Linked DNA regions of Drosophila melanogaster. Changing the gene in region 2 together with the main gene of any one other region gives a genetic interaction. Each region holds a gene or a part of one and is shown on either strand. Other genes may lie near its edges.

Region 1 (5,210 bases), 9.2 Mb from region 2:
TAATATATAGTCTTCATCGTATGCTTCTTGGGCAATCGAGTTTGTTTATAAATTCTTATTTAAGCTTATATGTGAATACCTCATGAATAAAATATTGATTGAATTGATGAAAGAAGTCTAGAGGCAAGAGTTCTTATTTAAGAAGATAACCCAAAGTGGCAATAGAACAAGTGCCTCATTTTTCTATTGTTTTCTACACAAATTTTAAAATATTTTTTTTTTATTTCCCTGATATATATTCCATTCTTTTGAGTGCCTCGCGTCAGTCTATTCACCAAATGGATGCCGTGCACTTTCTGGTCGACCGCCTTTGTCAAGGTTCGCAAGGTCAATGATTTATTAGTTTATTTGTTCGCCAGTGCGTTGCGTTCTGTTGTGATCTCCGGTTCGTTGTCCGTCTATCTGTCAGTCAGTCTGGCTGACTTTCTCCGGACTTTTTGCCCCTGGGTGCGGCAACGTGCTGGAGCCGAGTGCCTATTGTCCATGGCTGACAGGCAAAGCTTGGGGATCAGGCGGCTTTGGCGCCAGTTGAGCCGCAAATCCGACGACCCCCAGCCGCTCCACCCCAGTCAGCCTCAAAAGTCGGTCGAGAATCATTAAGGGGAGCAGTGACAATTTGAGTTGCATTTCCATTAGCCGGTCTGTGTGTCAATGGTTTGGCAAATGGACAAGTTAATCGAGGCATGTGCTCGGTTCACATATGCGCTGCGACAGCTCAAACCAGCTGAGCTCCATGGCATTCAGTTCATTTTCTAAGTTGGTATACTCGAAGATGGGCCACGACCTTCAAATGCTACCCCATAAAGAATGTCGATCGATGATCGGTCTTTCGGGGTGGAATGAGCGCAACCCCAGGATCTGGGTTTCTGTTGCCAGGCGCAATGGAAGCCCATTATATGCAGCTGCATTTAGTTTCTACAGGGTTCTTTTTACCTTAAGTAGCTTCAAAAGTAATGCAACATTTGAGTACAAAATAATATTATATTTTGAAAAACACTCTAATAGATCTGTATTCTATTTGTCCACGAAAAAATTGAATTTCATGGTCTTTTCATTTTGATTAACTATTAAATATTCAAAAATTTAAATTTCCAGGTATCAAACTTCGAAGTATTTACCTTACCTAAGGCTTTAAAATAAATTTAATTTATGAGTTTTTTAAATAACCTATATTTCATTGTTATTTAAATTAAAAAGAATTTAATTTCTTTGAGGGATTTTTTTTTTGCTTGATTACTATTGGGCGTTTATAATCGTAAACCATTGGAGTGGTGCTCACTCTCACTCCAACATGCAGTTTTTAGAGCAATTATAATTGAATTTCTTTTTTGAATTAAAATGTATATGAAAAGCCACTTGAAAGGTAATGAAATTATGAACATTTTTTACAAGCACTTTAAGTTTAATGGTGTGGAATTTTATATGGCGCTTCACAAACACAAAGTGGTGAAACTCAAATAAATATTTAACTACTTTAAATATGAATTTATAAATGAATTGGACATTATTAATATATCAGTAGCGACATGGAAATAATATGGAAAATGATTTACAAGAATCATTTTTTAGCAATTTTAAGAGGAAAAGTATTATTAGAAATTTATAAATCAAAGAAATAAGATTCCTCTTGTGTAGTTTTTAGATATAAACTGACTCTTAGTTCTTAAATAGCATATGCTAGTGTCAAAACCATAAGAGCAACTATATATATGCAACCAGATATGCGAGTGCACAGCAGCAAATGACAACTGACCGCAATCCTGAACACTGAATGATTCTAGTGGAGCGTCTTCCACATTGTCGTCATAGAATTTCAAGAAGACAGATAAATGCACCGGTGAATTTATTACCCCATTTAGTGGCAAAGATAATTGGAGATGAACTGGAGAGCACTTGCCAAAGATAGACGAGACCGGACCCGGAAAAACTGGTAAACTGGCTTTCAAGTTCAAGTGCATGGCAATCGCTCGCAAAAAGGCTGAAAACATGGATACTTGGAAAGCATATCTGAGATATTTTTAAGTCGAGAGTTTAAAAAGTAGCCTATTGAAATGAAATTCACCGCCGCTGGTCAAAAGATATCCAGCTTCGCTCACTCGTGCATAAGTACATATTTATGTAAATTTGTATATACAAAGCCAACACAGCTGGCCAAAAAAGCCGCAGTCAAATTCTAGGGAAATGTATGAAATACAATTTGCCGCTTTGCGAACTCACCGAAACGCACTAAATTAATATCCAACTGGCTGGCAGGTAATTTATAAGTTTTTTCTTTGAACTACGAATTTGCAGCAATAAATGCACTTCTCACTGCAACACGCACACGATGTAGTTTACTTTGGTAAATACCACATATATTTACCCGCAAGAGTGCGATACGAAAACGAAGTGTGGGAATGCGAAAACTAAGCTCACTTATGTGTATGACAAATAATTATTTTATTATCTACGCTGCCTTGAGCTTGCAATCCATGAGCACGAACTGGGGAGTACTTGAGATACGGCTGATATCCAAATGCTAGCCACAAGCCACCCACTTCAAATTCCCCAAAAGCACTTTTGCACCGAAACAACAACAAATTTGGTTTGTTCAGAAGGGCACTTGATTGGCTTTTACACACACACTTCTTCGGATGGGCGAAGGCTTATTGCATACACAATATGAAATTTAGACGATGTTTCGCTTTCTTGCACTGCAAAACGCTCATTCGAGCCAGTTAATTGTGTTCCAGTAGGATGAGCAGCAGTCTACGATGGGTTCACTCTGCGGGCCAGCAGATGCGGTACAAAGCTCTGCTTTGTATCTGACAGATACTTGGATACTTTTGTATCTTTTGGAAATATTGGAATATGTTTCAGCTTTGCAGATACTCAAACGTTCAGATTCTATTGCATATTGCAGATACTTTTACACGCTTTAATCTTTCAGGTACTTGTGGTATCTTGCAGATACTTGAACACTTCAACACTGGCCTCTAAAAGGGGCGCGTTTTCGAAAATAAACATCCAGCACCGAAAATAAACGATCGTTGCCTGTTCTTACTTCGAGTTCAAAACGTGGCAGCTGATCCGACAAACGATTCCGATTCCTATTCCGATTCCGATGAGGAGCTATGGCAATAGCTATCCAAACGCACGTTCAGAGAGTCGACGACTGACTGAGGCAAACTCGGGTGGCGATCGCCACAAAATATCAGAAGCGATTGCGGCGAATTCGCTTCGTCGTTCGCTCGAATGCGGCGAACAAACAAATGTGCCTCGAGAGGCACCAAACCAACCGACAGCATAACGAGCTATATAGTATATAGGGTATATATACACATACAAATATATATTTAGGGAGATCGAACGAACCCAAGTTGCCCAAATGTGCGGCATAAAAATTCCATTTCACACACGCACGCAACTGAAGTTGTGTTGAGTGAGTTTGGCTTCCATGGCCATGGCTTGGTTTCTGTGTGAATCAGATAGCTGGCTTGGGGTTACCTTGGTGGTGGCTTTTGCACCCTTACGAATGTTAGAAACATCCGTATCCGAAACTGCATGCCATCTGAATGAGTTGAAAGATGACTCAGGCCAGCAAGTTGTTCGATACGCTGCAACCGGTGAAAATTCAAGTTAATCACCGTTAGAAAAAAAATTTAGTACACTTTTAGGAGGGTTGCACACAAAATCTTATACTTTCCGTTAAGGTGCTTATATATTTATTTTTTAATTTCCACTTTTCATAATTTTAAAGGTTTTTTATACTTCTAAATAACCAAGAAACATTAAAGTGCCATGAATCACTTTCGAATCTCAACATGGAGAAGAGAAAAGTGCCTATTGAACGAAAAACTCAAAAAGTAATTTTTCAAACATGACAGTTGTTTTTCCGCGACGACTTATTTCAAATATTTACCAGCTGCTGGCAAACACAAGTGACAGATATGACTTTTTCCACAGCTTCGCTTAGCTGGCGATGAAGGGGCGCAAATATTTTGCCAAGGAACCCGCTGACAATTGGGGGTTTCCCAAGAGGCAGGCAGCAATCAGAACCGGTTTCTTGGTCAAGTGCATGCAATGCAAATATTTGGACGCAATGAACACCAACTGTGCCCCATAGGTTTTCATTAGCCGGCGAGAGCCCAGTCATATCGAGTGCCTCCAATAATTGGGAGCTCGCTATCTACCGTTTCGAATGTTTTTATCAGAGATAAGGGGCGACTCCGGATACCGACGAACGTAAACAAATATCTGGGAATTCGGCCGACAAAACCGCCAAGTGGGCAAATGTAACTCTGCGGGCCCTTGGCTCCGTATCACAAAAACCATTGGCCCATTTTATTGATTTTGTGGTGCAAGGCAAGCGCCATTTGAAAAAGTTATTTTCAAAAATATCTACATATAAACATAAAAGTGCTCTAGAATCCTCTCGAAAGTTTAAAAAGTTGTGTCATACAGCAACGCACACAATTTTGGTTTAAAAACCATTATAAGCAAAATAGCAATTCTTTACCAATAAAGAAGTAATTAATTTTCAAGGAGTCGGCGATAGCAATGCAATTAGCTTGGAAATCGTGTATCTATGCACCCCTTTCCATATCATTTTCAAGTGGCAATCAAGTTTGAACTGGCTATTAATAGACGATTCGATCGAAATTTAATTTCAGTTGACTTAACAGATTAGCGTTGCTTAAATTTATGAGGTCTGTGCAAACATTTACGGAGCGCGCTAACACCCAGCAGTTATAAAATAATTAGCAGCCATTTAAAGCCAATTATCACATAAACACTCATAGACCATCGCCTCGCGGTGCTGAATTCTTCGATTTTGATGGGGGTAAATCATGCGAAAGTTGAATTATGTGGCCCAATGTTGCGCATACGCCATGTGTCAAACGAAAGCCCCGTGACAAGTCATTCGCCAAGTCATATACATACATATGTACTTAGGAAAATGGAGAAAAACCAACATGCACGAGTACTTAGATCAAATGATTTAATTAGCACTGGCCCCTCCAATTGTGTTCATTTTAATTACATACATTTTATCAGCCGTCAAAGCTTACGACTGCGAAGCCGCAAGGAGGAGGCAAGTTGTCGTGGCCCATGTGTCAATAAGTCAAACGATGTTAATTAATTGAGTGCGATAGCAAAATGCCCTGCAACCGTTGGCCTGTCACACGCAGTTTTCGTTGGCCCATCGCAATTAGCCCAAAAAGCCCGGT
Region 2 (4,888 bases):
TTCAATACCTTTGGGTGTATTTTTTTGAATCGTTTCAAATAGCTATAAGGAAATAAGAGTTTATGTTTACAATTCGCCCATTAAAATCCATGTTTACGCTTACGATTTCAAAGTTCCAGATAACATTAGTTCGGTGACTAGTACAATATTCTTCTTGCGGCCAATAGGAAACTCCCAATATGTATAAAACCGCACTATGTTTGGGTGCTGAAGTTTCTTCAGCATGTCTGCCTCCTCGCGAAATCTAGTACGTTCACTTTTTTTTACTTGCTTGTCCTGTAAAATAGGTAAATAAAATTGTACATTTTCATGTTACCTAATGATTACTTTAATTGTGATGATCCATTATATAAAAAAGATTACTCAATCAAAAATTCATGATAATTATTATCTATCTGATAACTTGCTTATGCAAGCTTGTGATCATGTTTGCTTTGACTAATAATAATAATACTTATACATATGCCCAATGGCACAACAATAAACTTAAGAAGTTTTTTATCTTACCAATAACTCGCACCAGGCAACTGGAACACCAGTCAACGTGTCCAGGCCACGATAGACAGTTTTAAAGGAACCGCGTCCGACTTCCTTATCGTACTTAAAGAATCGTCCGCACGGCGACATGGCCACCGGATCATCGTCCTCATCGCTCTTACTCTTGGTTATCGATGTAGCTGAAGATGTGGTGGAGACCAGCGACGTGGAGGGCAGGGGAGATGCAGATGCATCTGTCGAGGACCCGGTGACAGCAGCTTCCTCTGCGCTAGCCTCGGAGCTCTCCGCTTTTTTGGTTATGTCGTCGAAGCTCTTTGCCTGCTTTTCGCTCTGAACTTCGGTATCGTCCTTATCCTCTACTTGAAAGCCAACTCGTTTTACGCCGCTTGAGTGCTTGGTAGAAGACTTCAATGGCACATCGTCTTCAGTCTTTTCGATTGTAAGACTCCGTGACGCTTCGGTTATAATGTTGTCGATGATTCCGGCCACATGGTGGGAAGTGGCATCCGTAGCATTGGAGCGCGTAGGCGTGCGGAACTGCTCCTCCAGATGCTCCGCCTCGCGGGAAAGCATCTCGATGTTGTCGTCATAGTCACGAGGAAACTCTGTCTCGAGTTCAACGAACTGCAGTGGATTGGTGTTCCTGCCTGACTGTTCCACATTTTTACGGACGAATCGAATGTTTTGCACGAAGTTCGCCGTCAAAGTCGTTGGCGTGGTCTTTGACGAGTGCAGTGGCGCCTGCTGCTTGATCAATGGCTCGATCACCGTGTCCGAGGAGGACTTTCTGGCCTCCATTTTCTTGGTGTCTGAAACAACCGCTTGCGACGTCCCCTTGACTGACTTGTCTTTTTTAGGTTTGCCCGAAGTAAGACCAGCTTTCTGGTTGCTTATGGCATCTGCAGGTTCTATTTTGCTATCCATTTCGTCCTCATTCTGTTCCCTGCTCTGGTTGTCCTGAGAGCAAAGCACCTCTACATCGGTTGATTGCTGTTTGCCTAAATCGCCGTTGTTGTTATCGTTGACTTTCGGTACGTCGTCCACGTTTTTCGGGCTTGACGCCGTTTTGCCGGGAAGGGTGTTATTTGAAAAGCGTCTTAGCACCCGCACAAATAGGTTACTTTTGCTGGCAGCTGGTGGTGTAGGCGTGGTGTTCAGCGTGGGTAGAGAAGAAGCTGGCTCGATAGGTGATGACTGGATTGAAGTGGTGCTGCTAGTGCTCGTGTGTGCAGAAAGTGTGCCCTGCTTGCAAGTGGGCTTTCTGTTTAGTGTGTCTTTTAGTTTTGATGTCGGGTTCGGCTTTTGCCTAGAGGAGGCAGATCTATTAAACGAACGGTGTCCCGACTTTTGTATATTAGCTCCCTGCACAGTTTGCTCCTCGCTAGAAATTGAGGTATTCCTAAAAGAATGATAGAAGTAGTTGATTAGATTCTATAGACTCACAGGTACAACAGTCGAGTTTTCCACAGTTCTCAGTAAACTTCCTTCCAAGAACATTTTATAAACATTCGATAAACGAAAAAACGGTTTCAGTTTACGTGTTGTTTATCTAGTAAGTTTTGCTTAAAACAGAGACGTTGAAGTAACAATTCCAGTTGAAGCATATTTAAAAATTAGTATCCTAGGGAAACAAATCCTTTGTAGGATACTTGGTCAGTTTAACACACTACATACAAGGATATTTTAAACCAGCTTTTACGTTATTTAGGCATATATGAAACAACGATTGTTACTTCAATCATTTTTTGTTATGTGCCCTGATTTAAATAAAAACAATATTTAAATAAATAGAGATATTCCCTAAATGTTTTGGCAATGACTCCAACTCACCTTTGAGGTTGCGTGGTGCAGGAGGTAGTACCATCTTCGCTGATGGCGCTTCCCTTCCGAGCACGGTTCGCAGGTACGACCTCTTGTTGTCGTACGAAGTCGCAGAGGGTTTGTCCAATTTTGCAAGATTTTTAGCAGCAGACCACCACGTTTAATCTGAAGCGAGAGGCAAGGCGGTGAATGAGTACATGAAGGCATGGAGGAATGGAGCAAAGGTTAAATTCCGGCACTATTGACAGGAGGAACTGGCTTGGACTGGGGCAGAGACATGGGCAGGGGCAGGAGCAGGGAAAGGTGACCATTCCCACACCCACTTATGTTCGTTGCTTGGTGCCGACGTCTGAAATATCGCTTACAGCTGGGTGGAGGAGGTAGTGGCGCCGTCTCCAGGAGGCCGAGGTGTGCGCTTTCCATGAATCACTAGTTTCGATTGCACTACGTTCGTCACTGGCTCTGCCGTTCCACTCTACTCTGTTCTGTTCTGTCGCGAGGGATATGTGCGTATGTGCGGTACGCTGGCTATACATACATATTTATGTACATTTGATTCGGGACAGGAAGCATATGCAGCGACTATGATGTCATGTTTCCACGCCGCTCCTTCCGGAAGTCCTTCGCTCGACGGGATCGTGCTCGAGTTGGGGATTTACGACCGGGACGGGGTCTAGGGCTCGCACTGCGACTGTCGGATCGTTCGCATCGAGGATTTCAATTTGTGATTGTGGTGTTCAAAGGCAATTCGAGCTAGCAAGCTTTCATATTACGGCACGGGGGATTGGTAAGTCTTTCGGGAGATAGTGTCACCTCCACAAGGGGGGTCAATTGGATTGAACGCGTGCGAGAGTCAGCGGAAAATTGAAGTTATTTCGCCAGAAGTTCCCTTTACTTTCACAAAAAATTTTACAAAGCAACTGGGTTTACTTGTGTTCGTGATCTATCGATAGCGCATATTGTTACACAAGTGTTATCGGCGGTGATGCCACCCAAGCTACCAGCTTGCCTAATATATATGTTACGCATTAGCAGAGATGTTACCTGGCCTCTGTTAACTTGAACAGTAGACCGTTACTCTTCGAACGAGTTATAACATTGTTAAGAATACTGTATAACCTTTAAGCATTAAGCCACTTTTTTAAATTTCATTTTGCCTGCCATAATGAAACAGATTACAAACAGATTACAGCTGTAAAAACCACACCTAACAAAGTCTTAATAAATTCCAAACCCTTATACAGGTTTCCCTTATTCAGCAAGAAGATGCTCCTGTCTCTTTTGTTTTGCCCCTAAGGCAAAAAGCCCAGATAGTCTCTTATTTTATATATATAAATATGATTTTCGATAATGTTTTCTTGCAATTCGTTAATTTATTTATTATAACTAACTTCTCTGAATGATTTTTGAGATACATACAAATATATTGTAGAACTTAAATATACATGCACTAATAGTTTATAAGTTATCACTTTAATGAATAGGAAAGCTATAAGTGCACGATATTTTTATACGTGAACAACAAATCAAAATCACTTTTTACAAAACCCTACATTTTACCATTTCCACTAAATTTGCATATTTTGTAATCGCTAGAATAAATTAAATTAAAACAGTTTTTTATTTTATTTTAGTTTAAGAGCAAGATCCTTTACTCTTAATCGTCACACCTGGAATAGAACATGTTGGTTTAAAATATATACAGACAATACATATATTGGGTATGAAACTCTTACTTATATTGAGGCATGACGAATAGCACTGCAGTTGGGTTTCGCCCGTGTACATGTATCCGTCGGATCCACAGATTATTTCATCGTTTTCATCGTACACATTAGCACATATCTTCTCGCAGTAGTTTTCCGTGTCCTTTGGATCGTCAGGAGTAGCTGAACTCGTCACAGTGGGCACCTTTGGAATATCTTGCTGAAATGGGCAAATTTAAAATTAAAAATGTAAGAGCTAAATTCACAGCAAAAAGAATTTGATCTTATTAGGAAAAACTGTTACTGGTATTTGATGAGTCGTATAATTTTTGTAGCTTGAGTTGATAGAATCAACTATTTTTTTAAGTTTATTTTTTCAAAGAAGAGTACTATTTTAAACCCGTAAACGATTTGATCGAAATTAAGTACTCACTAAATCGCGTAAAAATCATTATAAAATGCCTTAAAGGTTGGAAGTGCTTGTTTTTGTGGCCACTTTTTGGCCAACAAATATGCTAGCTTATATAAGCTACTTGCGGTTTTCACATTTATTGAGAAACAGAACCAACCTGCTTTCCACTTTCAGTGTCGGAACTATCCTCTGGGTCATCGGTGTATTCCTTAATGGGCTTGCTGAGTTCAATCTTCGGGGCAGGAGATTTCGCGGGCTCGCGGGGAGCTTGGGCCACGGTTTCGTAGTAGTACTGATTGGCTTGCGGGGCTTGGGTGTACTTCATCGATCCCCTTATGGCATCTTGCTCGGTGAACTCGAATCGCAGAGGCTCCGGGGTAAAGCTCTTGTGGGTCTTGGCGAGGTGCTGGCTCTTCGACGGCGATTGAGTGGTGGTCTGGACCGCCATGGG

What was found. A genetic interaction does not mean that the proteins touch.
Region 1: of Wnk (region 2) and Ncc69, changing one suppresses a phenotype caused by changing the other (phenotypic suppression), as found in Drosophila melanogaster (one study listed by BioGRID).

Annotation. Positions count from the first base shown.
Region 1 is NT_037436.4:12,388,280-12,393,489, forward strand, and holds the start of Ncc69 (sodium chloride cotransporter 69), read right to left. Parts: upstream 3,166-5,210; 5' UTR 3,044-3,165; exon of another isoform or gene 2,218-3,043; intron 1-2,217.
Region 2 is NT_037436.4:21,551,697-21,556,584, forward strand, and holds the start of Wnk (Wnk kinase), read right to left. Parts: upstream 3,233-4,888; 5' UTR 2,858-3,232; exon of another isoform or gene 2,685-2,857; intron 2,485-2,684; 5' UTR 2,448-2,484; coding exon of another isoform or gene 2,329-2,447; intron 1,898-2,328; coding exon of another isoform or gene 1,423-1,897; coding exon 508-1,422; intron 277-507; coding exon 104-276; intron 43-103; coding exon 1-42. Other genes in the region: CG7173 (uncharacterized protein), read right to left, coding at 3,955-3,989, 4,056-4,245, 4,595-4,888. UniProt on the Drosophila melanogaster protein: Serine/threonine-protein kinase component of the WNK-SPAK/OSR1 kinase cascade, which plays an important role in the regulation of electrolyte homeostasis and regulatory volume increase in response to hyperosmotic stress.